Schizosaccharomyces pombe: one gene and its partners. Changing the gene in region 1 together with any one later gene gives a genetic interaction. Each region holds a gene or a part of one and is shown on either strand. Other genes may lie near its edges.

What was found.
Region 2: mutations in cdc3 (region 1) and acp2 are lethal when combined (synthetic lethality), as found in Schizosaccharomyces pombe (2 studies listed by BioGRID, with this or other methods).
Region 3: mutations in cdc3 (region 1) and imp2 impair growth when combined (synthetic growth defect), as found in Schizosaccharomyces pombe (one study listed by BioGRID).
Region 4: of cdc3 (region 1) and arp2, a mutation in one rescues a mutant of the other (synthetic rescue), as found in Schizosaccharomyces pombe (one study listed by BioGRID).

The regions. Positions count from the first base shown.
Region 1 is NC_003424.3:2,574,133-2,581,355, forward strand, and holds cdc3 (profilin), read right to left. Parts: upstream 5,394-7,223; 5' UTR 5,347-5,393; coding exon 5,334-5,346; intron 5,285-5,333; coding exon 4,952-5,284; intron 4,896-4,951; coding exon 4,858-4,895; 3' UTR 4,824-4,857; downstream 1-4,823. Other genes in the region: serine/threonine protein phosphatase PP1 regulatory subunit Sds22, read right to left, coding at 1-163, 219-341; pts1 (20S proteasome complex subunit beta 5), read right to left, coding at 974-1,792; SPOM_SPAC4A8.14 (ribose-phosphate pyrophosphokinase), read left to right, coding at 2,369-3,445, 3,488-3,640; tif303 (translation initiation factor eIF3c), read right to left, coding at 6,088-7,223. UniProt on the Schizosaccharomyces pombe protein: Binds to actin and affects the structure of the cytoskeleton. At high concentrations, profilin prevents the polymerization of actin, whereas it enhances it at low concentrations. By binding to PIP2, it inhibits the formation of IP3 and DG.
Region 2 is NC_003424.3:2,103,530-2,107,699, forward strand, and holds acp2 (F-actin-capping protein beta subunit acp2), read right to left. Parts: upstream 1,905-4,170; 5' UTR 1,721-1,904; coding exon 1,715-1,720; exon of another isoform or gene 1,518-1,714; coding exon 1,121-1,517; intron 1,072-1,120; coding exon 668-1,071; 3' UTR 501-667; downstream 1-500. Other genes in the region: protein Atg14, read left to right, coding at 1-425. UniProt on the Schizosaccharomyces pombe protein: F-actin-capping proteins bind in a Ca(2+)-independent manner to the fast growing ends of actin filaments (barbed end) thereby blocking the exchange of subunits at these ends.
Region 3 is NC_003423.3:3,345,975-3,350,952, reverse strand, and holds imp2 (F-BAR domain protein Imp2), read right to left. Parts: upstream 3,054-4,978; 5' UTR 2,973-3,053; coding exon 2,904-2,972; exon of another isoform or gene 2,810-2,903; coding exon 2,718-2,809; exon of another isoform or gene 2,653-2,717; coding exon 980-2,652; exon of another isoform or gene 932-979; coding exon 753-931; 3' UTR 501-752; downstream 1-500. Other genes in the region: protein Ndc80, read right to left, coding at 1-28, 78-105; protein tam11, read left to right, coding at 4,136-4,324; SPOM_SPBC11C11.01 (U2-associated protein), read right to left, coding at 4,665-4,978. UniProt on the Schizosaccharomyces pombe protein: Required for normal septation. Involved in the disassembly of the medial ring during septation.
Region 4 is NC_003424.3:4,779,730-4,787,912, reverse strand, and holds arp2 (ARP2/3 actin-organizing complex actin-related protein subunit Arp2), read right to left. Parts: upstream 4,892-8,183; 5' UTR 4,859-4,891; coding exon 4,811-4,858; intron 4,787-4,810; exon of another isoform or gene 4,761-4,786; coding exon 3,636-4,760; 3' UTR 3,148-3,635; downstream 1-3,147. Other genes in the region: Golgi 4,6-pyruvylated galactose (PvGal) residue biosynthesis protein Pvg5, read left to right, coding at 1,633-2,751; protein Fta6, read left to right, coding at 5,640-5,670, 5,718-5,866; pheromone p-factor receptor Mam2, read right to left, coding at 6,179-7,225; SPOM_SPAC11H11.03C (uncharacterized protein), read left to right, coding at 7,664-7,672, 7,728-7,890.

The DNA of each region.
Region 1 (7,223 bases):
TGACAATTAAGTTGTCATACAAATCCAATTCAGTCAATGTTTCTGGAACTGATTCAATTTTCTTGATTTGATTTTGGCGAAGACATAAACTCTGTAAATTTTTAAATCTTTCAAGTCCAAGAGATGCCATGCTTTGTATACGAGACTGAATAAGCTCTACGCACTATATTAAGTTGGTTAGCTATATTTCAATTTAATGATTTAAAGATATCATTTACATCGACGTCGTCCGGCACATCATCAAGCAGATCTTCATCTGCATCGATTTGCTGGACATCAGGGTCATCAATGATAAGCTGTGTCTCAGGAGCAATTCCATCTTCACTGGAAACGTTACTCATTGTAAAAAAAGGCGATATAATAAAAAGGGCAAACGTGTTACAAACGAAAGTACTATATGCTTTCAAGTAGAGTACCGTGACAACATAACGACGCTTTAGGAAGCAACGATACTCTTGCTATAGCTTTTTACAAATCTGTATAGTTTTTATCGAATCGTTAAAAAACTCACTATAGTGAAACTCATAGCATACCGCAACATAAAATAATCTTATTCAGCGAAAATCATTAAGTTGACTAAATGCTAAACAATCCCAATTGCAGCTTAATTGTTTAACAATCGTTAGTACTCATCACATTAATGGAACAATTATCATATGGTGTGTATAGATTTATTAATGAACGATAACTTACACGGTAATATAACCCCCTCCTCGAATACTGATAAAAACAGATTTGAAAACAAGGTTCATTTCAAGTCATGTTAAGCTAGTCAATCAAATATATGGCAATGTGAAATTGTACATTCTCTGAAAGAAGTTACAAACGATGTATAGTTTACGGAATTGACTTCGACATTCAAATATAAGGGTATAAAATAAATGAATAAATGACAGTTGACCTAGAAGGGAATAGCAAATAACAACGTCTCATTTAATACACCGATGACACATGACTACTAGCAAGCATGAGTTTAGCGAGGGATATGAGCAAAGGAGTTTTCGTTATCTTTTGCTTCCCATATAAGACTATCAACATCAAAGTTTCCATGGAAGACCCAACCATTTTCATCAATGTGATAAAGATTTACTGAGCCACCAGAGTATGCATCTCTGTGAGTGGCAGCAACAATAGAGCGCTGAGCTAAATAAAGAGCTTCTTGTTTAGATAAGTCCCAGCGATATCCAGAGTCCAAAACACCGTACGCAAATGTAGAACCTGAACCAACGGAAAACAAATCACCTTTCAATCGGGTGCCATCACTGTCGATGTAGTAAAGTGCAGTACCACCTTTTCCTGTTCCAGCAAGCATAGTACCCATGCTAAGTCCATAACCCTTGTATGAATAAGTAATGTTTGAAAGAATTTTGCTAGCAGCAGAAACAGAGATTAACTCCTTATTTCTAAGTTGATGTAAACGACATTCCATTCCTAGAACTGTCTCCCAAAACTGACAGTCAGCTGCACCACCAGCAAGAGTACCTAAAAGATATGGGTTTATCTCTATAACTTTTTTAACGGTTTGTGAAGCAATAAGAGGACCGGCAGATGCTCTCGAATCTACACAAACAACGATACCATGTTGGTAACGAAAAGCTAAAGTAGTAGTACCATGATTCATTTTAATAAGACAATGCTTGTTTTTCGTTTCATCTGTTAAGTTTCGTAAATAAAGAGAAGATTGAGGCACTGGTACGACATCAAATCGATTTGTAAATCCTTCTTCTTCTATTATTTTTTTTGGGTCATCATTGTTAGTACTTTGTGTATACTTAGATACGATAGAATTCATGATTAAAGAATAGTATTACGCTCTTAGCACGTTCGTCGCTCAGTCAGCTTACGGCAAACACTCAATATAGCGACTCTCTTAGAAATCGCTATTATAATATTTGGAACACTACCGCGACTACTGTTATGACTAAACGCAAAAGAAGCGAAAAATGTCAAACATTTTTAAAAATAAGTTTTTGTCAAATTTAAATTATTTTTGTTTTCTAGACTTAATAGTAATATTTCAGCTGATTTTGTATATTTATCTAACATTTTAGGAATGCCAATTTATGAGTCCATGTGACCTATCTAGCATGTTGGGAAAACAAAGAAACTATCGTTTTAGCGTGCCATTTTACAGTTACGTTAAATAAGTATACCGATGCTTAAAACTGGCAAATAAAAAACAACAGAAAGTTACACTCTTCTTTTTACTCAATTACCTATACCTAGACGCATCTGTTTAACGGGAAAACGATAATATAATTACTTCTCGTAGTTCTAGCACATATATAGTTTTTTGAAGCTCACTTGAGTAATTTTGTAGATTTTGAAATTCGGGAACCGTAAGTTGAGGAAATATATTATAGGGAATATGAAGAGTGCTACAATCATTGGAGGCGGTTCTCATCCTGAACTTTTACATCTCATTTCTAACCGACTTGGAATTACACCTTGTGATGTATCTCTAAAAAGGTTTGCAAATGGCGAGACAAGCGTTGAAATTCGTGAGTCAGTGCGAGATAAGGACGTTTTCATTTTGCAAAGTGGAAGTTCCACTGTAAATGACAGCTTAATGGAGCTCCTTATTATTATAAGCGCTTGTAAAGGTGGATCTGCTAAAAGAATCACAGCTGTCATGCCTTACTTTCCTTATTCCAAACAATCTAAAATGCGGAAGTATCGAGATGCCATTACAGCTAGAATGGTAGCCAATTTATTAACCGTTGCTGGTGTTGATCATATAATTACTCTTGATTTGCATGCTTCTCAAATGCAGGGATTCTTCACTCGCCCAGTCGACAATCTATATGCAGAGCCTAACATAGCTGAATGGATTCGTAGAAACGTCGATGATTGGGAAGAAGCGGTAGTAGTTTCGAAGAATCCTGGTGGTGCCAAAAGAGTTACCAGTTTGGCGGATACTTTGAATTTGGACTTTGCATTGATTAACACTGATAGACAACGAAGTTCTCATTTTTCCCAAAATTTTGAAGATTCCATTATGGATGAAACAGAAGCAACTGAAACACATGTTACTAATTGTTCTGTATATTTGGATCGTCCTCGTATCCATACTGCTAAGTACCTTTTGGGACATATTATCGATGACGAAGAAATTATAACTACCCCAGCTAGTGTTTGTTCAGAAGATTATGCTCAAGAAGTTAATTTGTATTCTCAGGGAGGATGTCCCAGTGATGATGATGAAGAGGAAAACATTATGTCTGCGTCCATTTATGCTGAACGTATGATCACCCTTGTCGGCGATGTGAACGGTAAAACCGCCTTATTAATTGACGATACAATTGAAAATCCAACAGCTTTCATTGTCGCTTCCGAACATTTGGTTAAGCGATGTGGAGCTAAAAGAGTTATAGTGATTGGTACCCATGGAATTTTTCAAAATAAATGTTTAAAAGATTTGCAATCTTGTGAATACATTGAACAGGTAATGTCAAATATCACGGAAAGCTGACTAACGTAACAATAGATTGTTGTCACCAATACGTATCCTATCAAACCACAAGCAGTCCTGGAATGTGACAAACTTACTGTTATTGATATTAGTGGGGTACTTGCAGAGGCTATTCGCCGTACCCATAACGGTGAAAGTATTAGCTTCTTGTTTAAGAAAGCGTTCTAAAATTTTCGTACTACTTTATTTATCATGTTAATTTAATTAGTTATTTTAACTACAATATGCTGCTCTAGAAGACTTGGTTTTGAGTCAAAGTTATAGGATATCAAAAAGTAACGTTTTGTTTAATATCACTGTTTCTTACCTTGGTGTGAAGAATGTCTACCAATGAATAGAAAAATCTGTACGCTAATTATTTACCTAATTTAAGAAGTAGCACTATTTTGTAACAAATATAGTTGCCCGTATTGTGGGACTTCTTTAAATTCGAGGGTTTTCACGTTTTATTAATGCATAAAAATATTAAAAAAAATAATAATTAAAAATTGGTAGCAATTTAGAAGTTACTTTAAAATTTATTAGGCCAGTTCAACTCTTTCATTGGCATTTTAATATACCAAAACACTTAATAATGTAAGTAAATTGCAAACATAATTTGTTAAATTCAGAAAAGCTGAGTTTCTTCAAATGAACTATCAAAAACCAAAGTTTTATTAAAAAAAAAAAAAAAAAAAAAGAATCTCAAAAGATTAAAAGAAAATGTCGTTTAACTTCTTAACAATACATTTGTTTACAACTTGTTTTTATTTTTTTGTCATATTTTCAACTTTGCGAAACACACTATATATACTATATAGTTTGCTACAAATCAAGCAACAGCTCCCGTGGCCAAGCTGGTTAAGGCCTCATGCTTATATGATACTCCCCTTAGGAGGTGTGTTACGTGGAAATCGCGAGTTCGATCCTCGCCGGGAGCACTTTTTTTGCAAAGAATTTTTACACAGTCAAGATTGTTGGCTTGTCTAGTGTATGGATCATTGTAAAATAATTTTTATAAGTATATGTAGTACTTGATTTTTTGCAATTGCTTATGTAGATAAATCTATCACGTTACCCTCCACTTAATGAACTGACTTCTTCCTATTCAAACCCTCTTTTTTGCGAAAAGATAAATATCTAAATATTGTTGTGTTTATTTACATATAATGTAATTTGGCTCAAGTTAGTAGTTAAAATGTTTGCACTGCTTTTAATTTGTACGCAATATTATTTCGCAAACGGAAAGTAAAAAGTTTAACATTTGTTATTTACACATGGCAATCTTCTACAAACGATATACATCCTACTAACAGAAACCTGTTCAAAAATGAGAAAGGATCCAAAACTACTTTTATCTGATAATTTAAATGAAATAGCAGTAATATTGATTGTCATGTCAAAATCTAATACCCAACACCAACAAGATAATCAGCTAAAGCCTCTATTGCGTTGTTAATAATTGTGCTAATTAAGAATAGTAAACTGAGAAAAACTTACCAGTAATCTTGGCGGCTTCTCCTGGAAGGGTTGTTTCAGGGTAGTGAGAAACCAAAATGCAAAGCTTAGTAGCTACACAAATAATGCCCTCTTTCTGTAATTTACCATAGATAGAACGTCCTTCAGCTCGAATAGTGATGTATTTTTGACCGGCTAAAATGATACCAGTGCCAAACATACTAGGTGGATCTTGGAAACCAGCGGCAAGGCCTTGGATTTCCTGAGGAGAAAGATTGAATCCAGCAGAAGCAGCCCAAACACTGTCACCAGCACGAGAGACGATAGCAGCGCGATCGATTTTTCCAGTACCGAGCAAAGAAGTATCAACGTAAGCTAAATAAGTTAGATATTATTCGTAATAATATCTAGAGGATATACAAACCTTGCCAAGACATTTTTGCAAATCTGGGTTTAGAGATAGGAAAACTTGTAGTAGTAGGGTGACGGAAAGTAGCAGCTACCCGTTCTACATGCGTTTGAAACCTATGACCAATTTAAGGTGCTCTAAGACGTTCTAACATTGATAAAAAAATTCTTATAAAGTTTCCCTCATTTTTAGAAATAATATGAAACTTATCGCAGTTGACTTCGTTAGAGGTTTACCATTCAAGATCGTGTGAATGTATTGTGTAAGGATTGTTATGCTTAATACGACTTCAGAAGTATTCAATAGAATTTCAGAACTCTTGTTTAGAGGTTCAACAACACAATTAGAGATACTTCGTTCAGTAATAGATTTTTTAAAGAAAACAACTTCAAACCATACACCGATAGATTGAGCTCGTACTAGCGACCAAAAATTCGATTACACACATCATGTCTGTTTTCAGTCGATGGAAAAAAGGCGACCATATGAAACTGAAGAACAAAGCTTGCAGAAATAGCTTACTGTAAACGTGTATAATGGTCAACAGATTCAGACTTTCGAAGCAAAGTATCTTTACAATTGAAGATAATTACCAAACGGTAAACTACATTATTTCCGATTAACGTTTGTAACAAAACCACTATGAAGTAACTCAGATGTCTATTGATCTATGGAAACCACCTGATAGTTAAATACTTTCTTCAAAGACAAATAGTCATTCATTTTATTGAAATTAGATCGCCCTATTTTTCACCGATGCACAACAACTTTAATTCATGTCTGAACGATTCCGATTTTCGGTGCGTTCATTGCGTCTTTTAACCGAGCCACCCTTATCACGACGTCTGTTCTCCTGAGGATTAGTGTGTTGGGTCTTCTGCTCATATAGCTTTTCATTTGCCTCATTCAATTGTGCAGTTTTCTCGCTAAGAGAAACAGTCAAGCTTTCCAGCTTGTTAATCTCAACACGTTCAAAAATGATGGCACCGTGAACTTGATCAAGAGCAGCATGGATCTCACGTTTAGATAATAACCGAGAAACAATAACAGTAACACGCTGAACAGGAAGATCAAATGTCGTAGCCAAAAATTCAAGAGAAACAGAATCGTAAAAAGCAGCATATGCTAATAAGTATGTACGTAGTCCCTCTTCCCGAATCTTCTCACTAAGCATTTGCTTAATTTTGTCAGCATCAGGCATTAAGCTCCAAATCTTAATAGCATGAATAAATTCTTCACAACGACGCCATTCACCATCTGCCAATGCTTTCGAAGCTTGCATTATATACTCGCGGGTATTTTCAGGAGGACCAACGAAAAGCTGACGATCAATGTATTCAAGCATACGACGGAAGGGTCGGCTGATTACACGCTTTCTAGAATCTGAAGCAGTAGAGCTAGCAGCTGCCATTGCGGGAATCTCCATCAACATAGAACAAGTCAAGTAAACACATTCAAGCAGTTCTAGATTTATGTGCATATGGAAAGGTAAAACCAACTGCTTATCCAAACGATCCTGATCAGGTGTAAATTGTCCAAACTTTGGTGCTTGTATGCCTTGTCCAAGGAGTTCCTTTACACGACCAGTAGTAGAGATGTCTTGAAGAGCATACTGTGTTTCTTGAACCATACCGTTGCGGAAAGCACACAAACCAATTTGAACCATAGTGCGATTGTGTAAAATTTGAGTAGCAATGTCGGCAGCATGCACGCTATCTTGTAAATGCGACATAAGTAACATATCACGAGCCTTGTAAAAACGATTTTGCAATGCTTCATGATAAATATGACACAGCATAGCACGGGTACGAAGTAAACTGACACCATTATTATAAAGATAGACACATAGGGAATGGATTAAAATATCAGGAGTCGTAGTCGTGGCACGAGGAGTAATTGTAAGAT
Region 2 (4,170 bases), 470 kb from region 1:
TAAATCCTGATTGTGCTTTAACTTTATCCTTTATTTGTATATTTTTAGCTCAGTATACCAGTATTCCCTTACCATGCCCGCTTCAACTCCCTTCGCCTGATCAAAAACCCATGACTTCATTTTCATCGGAACAAATGTTGTATATAATGTATAACATAGTTTGGATTTCATGGAACTGTGGCATTTTTTCGTTTCCCCGTGGAATTACCCAATCCCAGCTTTTTGAGTTAATGCAGTATACTGGTTTCTGGTTAGTTCAGCTACGTACCAAGCCGCTAACTTCTCAAAAGCCAGATTGGCATTACAAGATGGGTATGGATTTTGACCTTTTTCACCGATTATACCTGGCGCGTCTTCCAATTCCAATAAATTACTCCTCTCTTCGATCACGTTCCTCGTCTAAACCATATCAGCTTATTTCATGACCTTTTTTACATGATCTTCGATTAACAGCTTTCTTATAAAGTCTCTTAACGTATATTTTTTAATGCTATTTATATAAACTTTTTTACTGAACAATTAAATTCAATAATTTCTTTTAAAACTGTTGTAAAAAAATTAGATTATCGGTGTATTTATTTATATTAGTCAATCTTTCTATGACTATTTTCGTTGAAGATGGAACGAATACTATGAGAAGATCACGGAAAGAAAACAAAAAGCAATCCTAAATGGAAAGATCGTTTAAAACTGAACGCAAAGCCGAATCATTTGGTTGGGCATCGGAAACGGGTTGAATGGAACGAGTCTGGTTGATGATATCTTTAGTTTTTCCAAAGTAGACATCCTGGAGGAAGTTGCGCATCCGAGTTTCCATTTCCTCAACCAATTTGCCAACATTAGCGATCTCAGTGTCATCATCTGCCGCTGGTAATCGTTGAGAAGTTTGGCGAGTCAAATGACCTGAAAGGTTAAGAGCTTTGGAAGGCAAGGCAGACTGTTCCTCCGAGCCAGATGAAAGGAAAAGGATAATAGTACTTGTAAGTCGGTAATCATAAACGTTGGTTTCCGTGGTAGGCAGACATTCAAACACGTGAATAGAATCCCATCCGCTTGAGTTAGAAGTAGAAGCTAAATGAAGTTAGAATTATATAATGAAATTGACAGAAAATAAAAATACCCTTTTTTATGAGAACGGCGCCTGCGTAACTATCGTCTTGGTCCCAAAGATAAACGCTACTAACACCGCCCTCGTAATAAAGATCAAGATAGACACGGATTGCTTCATTCAAAGAAACTTCTAATTTACGAACTCGATCAGTAGAAACTAAACCATCCTCCAAAGGAGGATCATATTTATTGCTCCATGGTGAGCGGTACGAATCTCCATCCCTGTTAAAGTCACATAACAAATATTGATTACCTGACTCAGAACAAGTATTTACTTTTAGAGGCTGATCAACAGACGAGAGAAGGACATCAGCTAAATCGGGAGCGACGGAAAGAATTGTGTCTAGGTTTTTAGAGATATCTTTTGGGTTTAATCGTCGGAGTAAATCTAATGCAGCGTCTTCAGACTAAAAGAATAAGTTAGCTGATATTGTAAAGAAGGATAACGACAAAGAATGTGAAAAGCAAATTCATAAAGTCTCTGAGCAATACTGACGAAAATCGATGAAATATGCATTCAATGATAAGATGAATTTACAGATGGCTATATAATAAAAATATAACAAAAAAATTGGGCAAGGTAATTAATTTCAGTAATACTTACATTCATGGTGAGTTGATGATATAATGCTTTAAACAAAAGAATACAACCGGATAGCGATCTCAGAATAAAAGTGAGGCCTTAATGATTATAGGAAGTAACTTTAGATTCGTCGCATAAATTACGAAGATTCTTCACGGTGCAGTACACAAATAGTAGAGGTGACTGACTGGTGGTGAGGTACTTGTACTCTGGTGCTTTCTGCGTAAGTTTAGAAAGTGAACAACATATGGCGGTGAACATTGAACGATGAACCCTCTGGTGATGACAACGTAGCAAAAACCAACCTCAAACTTACTTTATAATCAAACTGGTAATATCAATGAGCTGTTAAAAATAATCAAAAGAAGAGCACATTTTGTTCAAGCGGAAAAAGTCAAGAATTTATTAGATGCTACTGTTGGTCACTTCAATAAGCTGTCTATTTTTCAATATTGAACATTTTCAAGTTAAATTTAGTATTGGCAACGAATACAAAACTTTTCTGTATATCGGTTAAATTCCTTAATACAGAAACAAGGAGAATTATATGCCAAAGTCAATGCTTGAATCGCTTTCTATCTAAAGTTTGGATTTTCTACGAGTCAAACCATGTAAAGTCATAAAAAAGTCAATAACAAACGTCCTTCTTTCATTTTAAGCAATGGTCTTTCATTTTATTTAAACTATGGATCTTTTAAAATCTATTCTTATGTTTATAACCTTAACAAATGCATTGTTTAACTGCTTTTTGATCTTTATCTACATCTCACCTTCTGTTTTAGCATCCACTCAACCTTTAATAACGTTTTACTGTCGTTATGCAGTATGACAACTTACGAATTTAGTGTTCGTATATCTTCAAACTGCGTTCCTTAGAAATAAAGAACATTTAATTTGTTTTGTTAAACGGTTTTCAAATGGAATAGCGCGACTCAACGTTCTAAAAATTTGCGGAACATTAACTGTGATCAAAAATTTTGGGAGAGCCTAGATTTTGCCACTGTCACGTAATTATGTACAAGCGTTCAACTCCCATCTCTCACCGATTTCTGATTCGCAAAAATCACATGGGTTTTTTCATGGTGTGGTCCTTTTAACCAATCAGATTGTAGGACGGTTTCTCAAATGACCGAGAAATGATTCCATTCCGTTCCATAAGATTCTTTGTCCCGTTCGGAGTTCTTGAAATCCCGAGTTCGAATCTTGCATTCTAACTTTTTTCGTATGTTTGGCCATACTAAGACTACTAGCGCACGGCTGAAACCAATTGTGTAAACAAACATTTCTAACCTTGCTTAAACTGGATTGAACCTTTTTGTCAGTACATTGGAGGATTACATTGGATAATTGCACTTTTCCGTATTTCTATCTGTTTATTGTCTTGACAAAGGCTGTAATTACTGTTGTTGTAGCAGTGAGTGTGTGATTACAAACACTTAAAACAGAAAATGTGCTTTGTGGGTTTGAAACTTTTATCGAAATTTTGTAAGAAGTTAACCTGCAATTATTGTTGATCATTTATCTTTTAATTGTATTATTATTAAGTTGTTTACTTGCAGAACACATAGTTTGGCCGAATTTTTTGGTTTTGTTTGTTTACAATAACACCCCGCGATTTGCGTTGCGCCTGATAGCTTTAGCCAGTGGTGACGTAGGAGAAAGATAATTGGTCAGTCGCCCTCCATTGAAATTATCATCTAATCGTTCATCCGCCGCAATGTTGATTCACATCAAAACCCTAACCCTGAGGACAACGGTGACTTATACCAACATGTTTCCTCCTTCCCTCTGCAAACCACATTTTTCCTCGGTTCGACTCTTGAAATTGCTAGTCGCGCGGAAGAGTTCGATATCGTTATTAATCGTTAATTTGTTATAGGGCACTACTTTTTTGTCCCTTTGAAGCCAAGTCGCTATAAATCTTAAGTCATTTGTGCTATCTGTTATTGTTTGGCGCTATACAACGAAGTAAATATTGCATATTGCTTGTTTTAGTGTAATAGGCAGTTTATGCGCGCGTGTGTTGTGAAGGTTAGCCGGCATTAATTTTGTTCATTCTTGTTTTTGTGTACTATTAGCAATTTGATATTCAGTGTTGCTGTGTTGATTGCTGTAGCTTATACGTCAACGTGGCAATTTTGTTTTGTAAGTAGTTTTGTTTGTGTTTATGACAGGTGAAGTGGGTGAGGCAGTGAGGGCAGTCCAACTCTTAATTTGGATTTTTTGCTGGTGATTTAGGATTTTGATATGGTTTGTCGAAGTTTGTTAGAATTGTCGCTTTTTTATCCTAAAGGTTAAAAAATTGGAATTGGTAGTCTCTTCATTGAAAGGAACTGACTTTAAAATTTTTTTTTTGTTTTGCCAAAGATACGTTTCTTTTCTGTGTTGCGACGCGTCTACCACCATTATATTGTAGACTGTGGAAAGGTGGTGCTATTGTTCCTCTTTTGTTAATATCTCGTGTTCCGTTTGACAAT
Region 3 (4,978 bases), on another chromosome or scaffold:
TTAGATGAAGAAGGTGCCTGTGAATACCCTAAACTTATTGTTAACTTATTAGTCAAAAGAAAAAAAAGAAAACATACGCCTCGCGTAAGAGGAAGAATCTTGCATTTATAGTAATACAAGCAGATTGTTGTCTTTTATCGTTGGAGACGTTAGTTATAACAACAAAACCACTTTGCTAAGTAACAAAAATAACAGTGAATAGCGATTTCCAATATAGAACCGCAAAAATTTATAGTGAATCGCTTTGCAACTTAAAAAAGATATCGACAACGGCAGGATTCGAACCTGCGCTCCCAAAGGGAATCCGCTGGGCTACAGAATAGCAGGCGAACGCCTTAAAACCACTCGGCCACGTTGTCACAGCTTACTAGGAAATAGTAATTAGTTATACATGAAGCTATTATAGACCTGTGTGTTAACTTAGATTGGTAAAGATTTGATGTTTTTTAAGTTATTACAGAATTTTAGAAGCAAACGAGAATTACTAGAAATATTTAGGTAGAAAATGGTGCAATGAATGACAATAATTCAATCATTTTGAACATAATGCTATATATAACAATCGGTATCATTTTAATCTGCAAAATTCATAAAGATTTATAAGATAATAATCTTATAATGTAGATAACTTAACTAAACGTGTAGCATTCTAAATATCCTATAATGTAAAACAACCAAAATTAGAAATCTAGTATTTTAGATTTAAATGAGAATGAGAAAAGATGAGAAAATGCGAAACTATAATACGAAAGCTAAACCTCGATTTCACGAACAAAATTTGACGGAAATTGCCCACGGTTATGGTCATCCTCTCCAACGACAAATCCCTCCCACCAGCCGTCTTCATAAAGCTTAAGAACTGCAATGGTATCTCCCTTCCTGAAGCTTATCTCTTCGGGTATTGCAGCATCATAATCATATAAAGCAGATACTAAATTCAAGTTAGTAATTGTAATAGCGATGGACAGATTAGACATACCATAACCAAGAATACGTTGACCATCTGTACTTGTTGGATTATCAATACTGGTGTCACCGCCGTCTGTAGGATATGCAGGTAAAGAAAGTCGGTTAGACGTGTTTCCAGTAGCTTTTGTATTTATTGTATCATCAACAAAGGAAGAGTCCCGATCAGTATAAGGCTCGTCATCGGTAGGTGCAGTACCACTTGCTGGATCAACTCGAACACCGAAATCATAATTTGGCTCTAAATTTCCTGGTGTTAAGGAACGAGGAAGTCGGCTGGCATTCTGAGAAAGGGAAGAGGAAGGACGTTTTGGTGACCTACTTTTCCTCAATGTGAATGAACTTCGAGATCCATTCTTTCTTGAATCATAAACGGGTGAAACCGCACGATTCTCCATTTGTAGTACACTACCAAATTCTTCCTGAATTTGTTGACGCCGTGATGGAGTGTTAACATTTGGGCGGGAGTCCTCGGTGAAAGAAACAGAATTAGGACTTGGTAGAGAACCAAGTTCGTTATACCTTGGTGGTAGTGTATTAGAGTTAGGGAAGGCACCAGGAGCAGCAGGCGTAGGATTCTGTTTTGGCTCTTCTTGTAAAGAAAGATGCTTCATCTGTTCATCAGCCGCTGAAGTTAAAGGAGAGTCATTTCTCGGACTTGATAATGCATCCGGAGCCGTATTACCAACGTTTGGAGTCGAAGGACGACTCGTTAATTTAAACTTACTCAAAAAGCTTTTCTTTGGAGAGCTTCTACCATTTTGGGAAGAGTTAGAAGAAACAGTGGTAAGCGATTGAATTGCACTAGGAGTATTAGGAAGGGTATTTTCGAAGGACGACTCATTACGAGCGGTGGCAGAAAGGACGTATGGACGATTCAATGGCATGTTGTCATTTTCTATTTTGGTTTGGGCCCGCTGAAAATTAGCCTGAACCAACTCTACAGAATCATCGGGAACCTCGCCCTTATAATAGTCATAAAATTTTGGAGGTTGAGGAATTCCCGTTCCTGTAGATTTTGCGTCAATAAATTCCAAAACATCCTGAGAGACACTGCACTGTTCAAGATTTTTGCGAATTCGTTCACATGCTTGATCATCATTAAAGCAACTACGAGAGATAAGTAGTGTAAATGTCCACATGACGCTTTTCAGGAAATGTCTTCTTTCTTCTTCAATGTCCTGAAGTTTGTCACAGGTTGACCGCCATTCGTTGGTCCAACGAGCGTATGAATCTCTGACAGCTGCTACAGCTGATTGATAGTCAGAAGAACTAGCAGTGATAGCATTCTGAGTCTTGTTTAATTTCGCATTGTTCTTCTCTAGCTCCTTTCCGAAAAGCATGTTTTGCTGAGAAACATAGTAATTTACTTTCTTGCACAAGTAATGGTATTTGTCTTGAGCTTTAACAAGAGCTTGATGCTTGGAGAGTTTATCCTTATGAACTTTTTCTATCCCCGAAACGATCATCTTTTTCTTGTCCTTTAAAGAGGCAGCGTACCGCGTAAACGCATTTTCGACATCATCCTGAAGCAACTGAGAAATCTGCAAATGAGACTTTGCCATATTGTCAACTTCAGCTTTCATAACTTGGACTGATTCTTTGAGGCAACCAGTTTCCAAAGAACTGAAGGTTGTTCGAGACAACTTTGCCATTCGCTTGGCATAATCTTCTTCAATGTTCGCTCTAAGGTTGAAGTTAGAATAAACGATCATAGCATGTTAAACCCTGCTTCACCTCAAATTTCTCACCTTTCATGATAAAACGACCGAAGCTCTTCATTAATGTGTTTCACATCGCTAAAACGCGAAAGTAAAGCATGATAACCCTCATCATTTGCACCCTAATAAAGAATGTTAGTTAAGGTGTTGTGTTTAACACAAAAATCGAAAGTTTTGGCAGATAATGAGCTATCCACGTTGGCTTAGACACCATACCCAAAAGTAATTTGAAAAACTTTTATCAGGCTTTGCTGAAGATGCATTAAAGCTTAATTGTTGAGACATGTAAACGGAAAAAAACACGAATTAAGAGATTTTTCAATCTCGCCTTTATGGCAGTATTCTTTATTCGTATATGGTGGTGGTGTTGATTGTAAATGAAACTAACAACGAGGTAAACAAACGGCAACGCGTTGCCAGGTGCAGCTTTTCATGTCAACAATTAACAAATTTATCAAGAAAACCGATGTAATGAAGATTTTTCAGCCTTAAACTATCAAAAAAAAGCAATAGAATATTGCAGTGGAAAGATAAAAAGCCTTCAAATGCTGAGATATATATGGTGAACAATTGATTCATTCAAAGTCCACTTTATTCATCCTTGAGACTCTATAATTGTTATCTCTGTTAAGCGCACAAGTTTTGCTCACTATTTTGTATTGATTATGTGTGAATACTGTGATTTGAGAAGCGACCCAAGGCAGTCCTGAAAAAAAATACTTACCATAAACTCCGGTAAGCGAACTTATAGACTTAGACATTATGCTAATAAAACAATGATTTAGCATGTATGTATTTGCAGACTTCACGTTCTGTATAGCTATCTCCCGTCTCAAATCGTTTTACTATGTAAAATATTAAATTTTTGAATGGAATGCAACATGCTATTAATCAAAAACTTAATATACTATGCAAGCGGTTCAGGCGTACTGAAAAGTAATATTTTTTAGATAGCTCGATTTGTACCTGCAGCATCATTCGATGTGAATAAAAAATCGTATAATAATTTGTTTACTTAGTGAAATACACTAATCGAAAAAATAAATAAACACTAAAAAAAACATAAATACAACGTTTATGTGAGTCAAATAGATTAAACATATTCATTTATCAGGTACATACAAAACGCCCTTGTAATTCTCGGTTTTTCTTCCAATTTCCATTATTTTCAATCTTATTTTTTATTTCACGAGATCGCATTTCTTAATAACCCGACTTACGTCATGGGTTGGCGGTAGGGACGCTGATATGTTTACTATATATACAGCAGCCGCCCGGCTTCGGCGGTTTATTCTTTAACAAAACAACTGGTGATAAATACTCATTCTATCACACTTAAACACTAGGTGAGATTAAAGTTATTAATTGCTTTTGTCCCTATACATTTGCGAAGTTTTGATAATACGACCAACCTTGAATTTTTTGTACATCCTCTGAAATTATAAATAATGGAACGCGAAGGTAAAGAAGACGTTCGTAAAGCCGACCACAAGATTGTTTATGGTATTGAACGTGTGCGACATGGAATTAACAACTTTTTTGATGACGTTGGAAAAGCAGTAAAGTCGGAAAGCGATACTGCCGACTCCAAGAGAAGTGCTGAGGCGAAAGCCGATGAAGCCCCTGCTAAAATGTAGTGTCTAAAATTACAAGTACTTATACTCACTTTTAAAACATGATCCTCCAACTTTTTGTGATGCTGAACTTTACGATCTTAGCCATGCATGGCGAAAACTGTTTATATATCGAATTGATAAAGCCAGTTTGCACAGCAGCAATAGCATTCTTCGTCTATAAGTTATTCAATACAATGCTTGATGAAAGAGAAAACAAAAATCGTTGTCATTAAAGTATAATAGTATTACGGGTAGTTAAAAATGGATAAATTTAACATCAGTCATACCTTGTTTATATGAAAAGCGATATTCTAAATTGTAGAAGTGTAGTTCTTTTTTATCAATTGCATTCTTCTATTTTCTAGAATAAATCCTCCGCATGCATACGCATGCGCTTTGAGACGAATGTGCCTTGAGTAAAACTGGGTTTGAACTTTGCTTTCCGTTCCTCCGTAGGCTGCGGGCTTGAACTGGAGCTTGTTTCCGTACTCATTGGTATTTGCGATATGAATTCTACGTTTAACAATTCGTTTACATCGACAGGAATACCATTATACTCTTCGTCATCTTGAAGTCCTTCAGTCTCTTCAGAAATTGCTGTCCAGCTATTCTTTGTTTCCACTTTCAAAGCAGCAGAATTTATTTGTGGTGATTGAGGGGTATTTCCCGAAAAAT
Region 4 (8,183 bases), 2.2 Mb from region 1:
AGCAGGCCTACGTGGGGGAAGTGACTTACGACTTGATTCCTTTTGGAGATACCCCAGCAGTACTGAATGGGGGTCACTCCAAGCCATATTCCATTCTGCAAATACGGACGGTGTTCGTTTTGAACATTTACTAATCAGCGTTTCGGTAAATACTGGCCAAATTACCCCTAGCTAACATGTTGCTTGAGTAGTATTGACGAAAACGTTATCGTACGAAGTTTGCTTGACTCATAACTACGGAACAACCAATCATACATTATCATAAACTTTAAACAATGATTTAGTCATGGGAAACCAAAGATGAAAACATTTGAACGAAGAGGATTTGCTTCTTATTTCAAACCGGCACATAGCATATAATCCGCGTTTCAGCAGGCATCCGTAACTTTCCTTTTACTCTATTTCTTTTCTTCTTTCCCTCTGCTTGTCAAATCTACTGTTCAGCTAACTTTTCATTTTCGCTGTTGGTTGCGCTATTTTTAAAGAACAAACGCGAGTTTCTTCACGTATAGCTTTTTCTTTTATATTATTGTCGATTCATTAGTTTAAAAAGCGCGTCCTCGTGTTTAAACAAGATTGTCCTTTATTTTTCTCTCTCTCCCTTTTTCCGTCTTTGCGTGTCTCTCTTTCTATTTTTTTCGCTTCATTCTTTCTTTCTCTTGTGTACGCACGCGTTCAAATTTCTTTTTCTTTTTGTTCGTACCTTCTCACTTTCACTGTTTAATCTGCACCTCCTTTCTTCTTTCTCTTTGCATTTGCTTCCTAAATCTTTAAATATCAGATTGAAAAAGTCTCGTTACCACTCATTAAGCTCCTTTGCATCCTTGTTTTTCGTTACTTTAAGGTTAGATTGTGCGTTACTTCTCTTTCCAGCCTTAGTCCTTGATTGCCGCATACTTTGGTCATACCAGTGAATTCAAACTCATCCTCTGTACATCAACCCTCCCATATATTGTATAGAATATTGGGAAAAGATTTAACGGTCAAGGGAACTATAAAATTTGGTCAAGTCTTTTTTTAACTACTCATTTCGCATCTTCCAAGTATAAATGCTCTGAGCCCCACTCTTCAAATTTTCTTCCTAGCCTGTCGTGATTTCGTGAGACCGAAGTCCGATTAAAACTCAACAAAGTAAGGTATTTCTTATATATTTTCTCTACTGAAAATTCGTCTTTTTTCGTTAATCATCTTCTTAATTTAATTTTTTTTTTCTTCATTTGCCGTTGCTTTTTTTACTCCCACGGCTCATAATACAAATAAAAGGAAATCTTCTAACTTTCTAATTTCTCTCGTTTAATTTTTGTTTTGGTTAGACATTTGCTACTTTCATTCGTTCCTTCTTCTTCCTGCCCAGAGAAGTCATTGGTATCATCTTTACACTTTTATATGGTTTCCCCCTTTGACTCATTTTCTTATCCTCGTTTCCGTTTGTGTGTCGATTATTTGTATTGAAGGGTTTTAAAAAAATTTTTTCCTCTTTATTTAGTTTTCACACTGGTTCCAAAACTGTTATCACACTTGTTAAAATAGAATAGTGAGTATCGGTTCAAGAATACTTGGTTTTTTCTTCTTTTCTTTCTTTTAATTCATATTTGATTTTTCTTATTCTGTTTATGCTCACATCCAATTGATATGGGCCTTCCATTACGGATTTTTGCTGGTAATGGTATCGGCGGATGGTGTCTTCGACTATTCTTATTTGGAAGCCTCATTCTTCTACTTCGTCCTTTAATCTTCTATTCGAACACTACTATGAAAAAGCTGAAAACCGAATATCCTATTTATCATCGTCATTTGTCAGCTTTAAAACGTAATTTTTATTACACCATGGATGCTCAGTTAGGAGGTATTCGCAATGTTGTTTTGATCAACCGCCCATGCTTTGCCGCCTCTGATAATTTTCTTACTTTAATGGGCCAAAACTGGTACTTGAAAGAACGTAATATTAATGTCCTTTCTGATATATGTTTTCCCCTTTCTAATAATGCTCACGATTCTCTTCCAACTTTTAATAATGGCAGCGACTTATTTAATCCTTTGTACTTTGCAGTTTTGAATGCTGCCACTCCTGCAAGGTTCACATTTCATCTGTTTAATCATGTCATGGACTCTGTTGTTCCTTTTGACGAGGCTAAAAAGTTCAAAGTTCGTTCTTTCCCCATCAATTATGCTGAATATGCCGACGATGAATGTCAACTTGCACTCAAAAAGATTCGACCAATTCCGGATAAGTACCTTGTCTCCACTCGGGTATTATCGGATTCACGATATCTTGAGTTAAGTGGTGCAGTTGTCGCCTTTGCCCCTGATGCGTCTTCTTCTTTGCTATTTGAATTAGCAGATATTAAGCAGCATAAAAAAACTTCAGCTGATATACTGATATTTCTATCCAAAGATCACAATTTGCCTGTTTCATTTTATGATAATTATAAACTTAAATATACATTGCACTTTTGGCAGCCTCCATCTTTTCCCGATTCCTCTACTATCGACGATCAAGCCAAACTTTTATTTGACTACGTGGTGTCCCAAGTTGTGAAGTACCCATATTTTGTAACTGATATTTATCAGATACATTTACTTGGCGTTTATCTTAACTTGAAGCATGTTTATTTACTCGAAAACGATGACGTGGAAGATGCTTATTATGAACGACAGTGGATGCAGGCGTTCCAGCGGAAAAATGTTGTTGCTGTAGCTGAGGAACTTCAAACAGCTCTTCGAATAATTGAACAATGGAAGCAACTTTAAATTACTTCTTCTGGATTCTTCTCTTATTTACTCCAGTCGTTTCTCCTTTTTTATTCTTTGCTTTTGTTCTTTGTTTTTATATTTTCATTTTCATTACTGTTGTTCTATGTTGTTCATTTTTTATTCACATATTTTCGGTTTCACGTTGTTTTTCATCTGTCGGTTTCACGAGGCATTTTGTCTTCGTAAACTACACTTTTATATTTGTTCTTATTTATTTAAGGTTGTTTCAATGTTCCGTCGTTTTGTTTCCTAATGAATTCCTCTTACACCGTTATGAGAAATTTCAGTCGATTTGTGCGGCAATTTCTACTCCTCTTATGCTGTCGTGCTTAATTAAGAGCATTAATTTTTCTAGGCTGTCTTGGACACATTATTAATGGTTTATATATACAATTTAACAAAAAAATTAGGTCGGTAATTTATTTATTTACAATAATAGAAATTCCTGCTTTTAAATGTTACTCATGTTTTCCGTGGATGTCAATCTTCAGAAAACTAGAAGCTCAGAATGTCAAGCTATTTTTGTTAAAACTAGGACCTAATAAGAAAACGCCCTAAATGGGCGAAACCAAATATATACGTCACGGGAGTCTAGTCATTAAGTCTGTTGCTATTGAAGTGTACTAGTGCATATTGAGTAAATAAGATCGTTGGTTACAAAAAGGTTGTATAAACATCAAGCATAAGTAAATAGCCCATCAAAAGAAAAAGGAATCAAAAAGGCAAATAAAAGAAGGAATCGTACCGTCTTTTAACGATGGTCGGATTAAACAGAAAACGTAATCATTTAGCAAAGTTTGAAATTTATGAATCAAACTTCGTATAACTCAATTTACTAGCACATAAAAAGAAAGAAACAGAACATTAAACATAAATATACTCTAAGTAGTTCTAGGACCCAATTTGTCTAGTGCACGTACTCCATACTCCTCCCATTCTGCCTTGGACACCCACATGTGATCGTTTTGAGCCATGATATCTGCCAATACGGCGCCGCCGATAAACACGGCATGACGGCGACGAGGAGCGTCTTCAATCTTAACCTTAAAGTTAGGCAAACGTGCGGGATCTCCATGAAGAACACGCTCAAACCATAACTGTTTTATTTCCTTTTCAAGACGTGAAGGAAGACCGGCATACATACTGCTACCACCTGAGAGAACAATGGCGCGATACAAATACTTGCGAATGTCCACATCAGCTGCTTGGATAGTGTCAAAAATAAATTCACTCAAACCTGGTTGTTCACTACCAACCAGATGAGGTTGAAATAGACATTCTGGACATTCATAACGCTCAGAACCAACTTTAATAACTCTTCCATCAGGAAGGGTGTAATTACGCATTAAAACGGTAGTTTCTTCGCTAAGCTTATGGTCCAATTCCAAATCATAACTAACGTAACAAAGTTTTTCTTTCATCTCGCGAACAGTTTCAAAGTCTGCTGTACGATTGAAAGCATAACCCTTACGAAGAAGTAAGCTAATCAAATAGCGGGTAGCATCCCTACCGGCAACGTCAAGGCGACCAACTAAATGATTTAAAACAACACTTTCATAGACAGGCACAATATGGGTTACACCGTCACCAGAATCAACAACTACACCACTGCTTAATCCCTGTGCGTATAAAGAGAGAACGGCCTGAATGGCGACATAAACACCACCAAAACCATACCGTTCAAACATTGTCTCACACATTTTTTCGCGGTTAGCAACAGGATTCATAGGGGGCTCGGTCAACAAAATTTTCCTACCCCTCGGATCAATTTTTAGTTTTTCAAAGAAAGTGTAATCCCAAAGTTGATTCATCTCTTCAAAATCACGGATAATGCCATTTTCCATGGGATATTTTACTTGAAGTAAAGATCTCACCGCCTCAGCTTCATCACCGACCATAACATCTTTAATTTGAACATTTCCTGTTTTCTCTTCAGCACGTAAAATGGGCCTTCCTACGATGGATGGGAATTGAAAGCGCGGAAAATTGTCTTTAGCATATCCGACCTTGCTAACGTTAGTCACAGTGTAAACAAAGATTTAATTAAACTGATTACCTTCACAAAACCAGTTCCATTATCTAGAACAATGGGAGCAGACTCCATTTTATAAACGTCTCGTGTAGTTGGTGAAAGGTTAGTTCTTAAGTCCACCCCTATGTAATGTACCGGCGGTAACTATCTGCCATATACCGTATGACACAGCAGCACTGCAACTGTAGCAGAGCATTCGGTGATATATCGTAAATATGTAATATCGTAGGAAAGCGAAGTGCAGTAATCTTGAGAATTATAAAACAGAAATGAAGTATCTAAATTAATTTAACAATTGGCTGCAAAAAGAATAGCTCAAAGGTTTTTACGGTTAATGATCTTATCTTCTATTGTACTTAGCATTAGTATCGTTACCCCTTATACTCAAAGCCATAACTGTGCATTTATAATTGTTCGGCAGTAATGTATATTATCGCTTATTAGTTAAAAGATTCTTCGTTTCACATAGTATTACTATTATTTAAAAGAAAAACACGGACTCTATTTGTTTGTTTAATGTGCAGGTAACACTTCGATCGTTTATTATGAGATTGGTATGACTAGGAGCGCTGTGCAAAAATGAAGAATCGCGGAACCGATTTAATAAAGAATTTATTTCTCTAGTAACTAGATGTGTGCATTAAATTGAATACAAGACTTAAACAAAAGAATTATAATTATCGACATATACCATTATTGAATATTTGTCATCTGTTTACTGAAATAAGTGGAGCAATGCAATTTGAGAATAACACATATCGGTTTAAAGATCCTTATTATATTGCTATTACTAAATTAAGGAGTGTAACGTTTCGCAGCTAAAACATTTCGATACAATATTTGATAAAAATAAATGGAGGATAAATACATTTTATTGTCAGCAGGTTGGTTATAATTTTTATTTAATAGCTCAATACTTACGTGTATATAGTGGAAACGTTTAAATCACGTCTGGAAGAACTGCTAATGCAATCGGCCAAAGTACAAAAGCAAACGATGCTTAGAAAGGAATTAGCTTCTTCGATGAATGATATGGCTTCTACGGTACAAGAAGCTTTAAATAAAAAAAAAAGTTCGTAAGGTAAGCACTTGGAGACTCAAAACATTATAGTTCATTATAGATTACGAAGGCAGTTCATTCACTATTGTTTTAATAAGTGTTTGTGAAGTACGACTTGAAGTTTTCATGATAATAAGTTATTATAATCATATAATTTCATTGATGTTTATAGTAAACAATTGTTCATGAAGCGAAAAAAAAAAAACCATTAGAAAACTTCCCTCTGAGCAAATTATGATTACAAGCCTATCGTAAAAAAACCGTCTATGTTATTTGGGACTGTTATTGAGCCAGTATTAGGAATTATCAAAAAAGATACATTCAGGCGTAAGTTACGTCCACTTTTTAGTTTCAGATTCATCAGAAATCGAATAATCGTCACTGGGAGTATGTTTGATATCAAACGTTCTATCAACTCTAATCGAAACCTCGGTGGTTTCTCCTTGCGCAGATGAAGTTTTCATGCTTTGCAATTTCAGAGCTGTACTAGACGCCCATAAACTCGAAAGAGGAAGAGAAATGATTAGCAGACATTGAGTCATAGAGCTAAAGCCATCATACGTATGGATAAAACTATCTATTATAGTAAAGGTAGCTGGAACAATAAGACATTGGCAGCTAATAACTAAAATACACTGCATCGGACCAAATGGAAATTGCCCAATTTTTTTCCGTATTAATATGGCACGAAAGAGTTTGTATGAAAAAACACCACTGTGAAAAATAATGCTAAAAGCAAAAAGTATTTTAGCAATAAAGTAGGGCCAAGAGTATCCAACAATGGTCTTGCTGCTAAGTGGAGTTAACCATAACAGATACTGAATCTGTTGACACATGTTAGTAATCCAAAATGCGAGAACCAAAACAGTTAAGCAGGCACTAATAACAGTCATTATCCTTTGTGTCTTTCTATCATGTGCACAAATTATACGAACTTGAATCATCATGCTCATCTCAGCAGTAAAAATGATGACCGGTGCAAGCAACAAAATTAAAATATTAAACACATGGACATACATATGAACCATGTTTAAGATAAACCCGTAATTAACCAGGATACTGTAGCTATTGCTGCATATGGTCACTATATTCAAAATGGCCCGAAGACACATTGCAACAATACTTGCCGAATTAAAAACAAAAACTGGGTGTTTTCGTTTTTCGGATGATGACAATAGACAAACCATCAAAATGGTAAGGACTCCTAAAGCAAGTTGGGCAGACAAAGTCATTCCAGTTAAAAGTCTATCTCTTTCATATGCATCAATTGTTGAAACTGGCACTTCAATCTCTCCTACAATAGAGACAATGGTAATATTTTGGTGAATAATTGCGGATGCATCGGGAATAGTAAAGTCTTTCCACCATGGTTGTCTCATAATGTCAGAGGGAGCAAGAACAATATAAACCCGAGATTTTTTTAGTTTAAGAAGTTTAAAAATGTGATTTGTAAAGCACTTGATGACTCAGTTTCCCAATGAACTGTTATGCCAATAATTCCTCTTTGTTTAGAATTTCCAGAAAACACTTCTATGTCTCAAAAGTTAAATTTTCGCTTGAAGATATACAGCAAATTTCCAAATATATGGACTCAAAACACACCAATGGAATGCTGTTCGAACAATTGCAAAATTGTAGTTTAAACAGATTCGAAACAAAAAACAAAAGGATTTACTATTGTTTAGACAGTTCTTAAAAATTATTTTTCATCTTTGTCAGAGATCTAGCTGAATTATATAACATTTTTTGTGGTACTCCATTGTTCAGATTTCCTATTGTTAACTTCATTGTCTAGTACCACACCTGAAACAATAGAAATGGAGGAGGTAATTATTAATCAAAGAGATAAGGAGAAATTAGGTGTAACTAACTTTATTGAAGTATGAAAAGTTTAGAGCGTTGGCGTCAAAAGAGGCTGAAAAACGAGGGTATTTATTTCAAGAAGCTCAGCATGCCTATTCAGCAGGAAACAAGGCTAAAGCGCATGAACTAAGCCAAGAAGGAAAGTTATGTGGAGAGCGTATGGAAAATTATAATCGACAAGGTAATCTCAAATTCTCATTAAAAGCTGTGATTGTTAGTTCAAACCCTATAAACTTTCAATAATAGAAAAACAAACCCATCATGAGATTTTTCTTTCTTTCTTTTCCACTCTTTTTGTTTGGTATCTAATTCCGGTAGTTATCGGTCAGACAATACGCCAAACAATAGTAGTTATGACAATGAACTATTCTTTGTACAAAGTGAAGAGCTCTGAAACAGCTGAATAAAGCCATGTGATTTAAGAGAAAAATGGGTTGGCTTCTTTATAGAACTTAAAACACTGGGTTTCTTCAA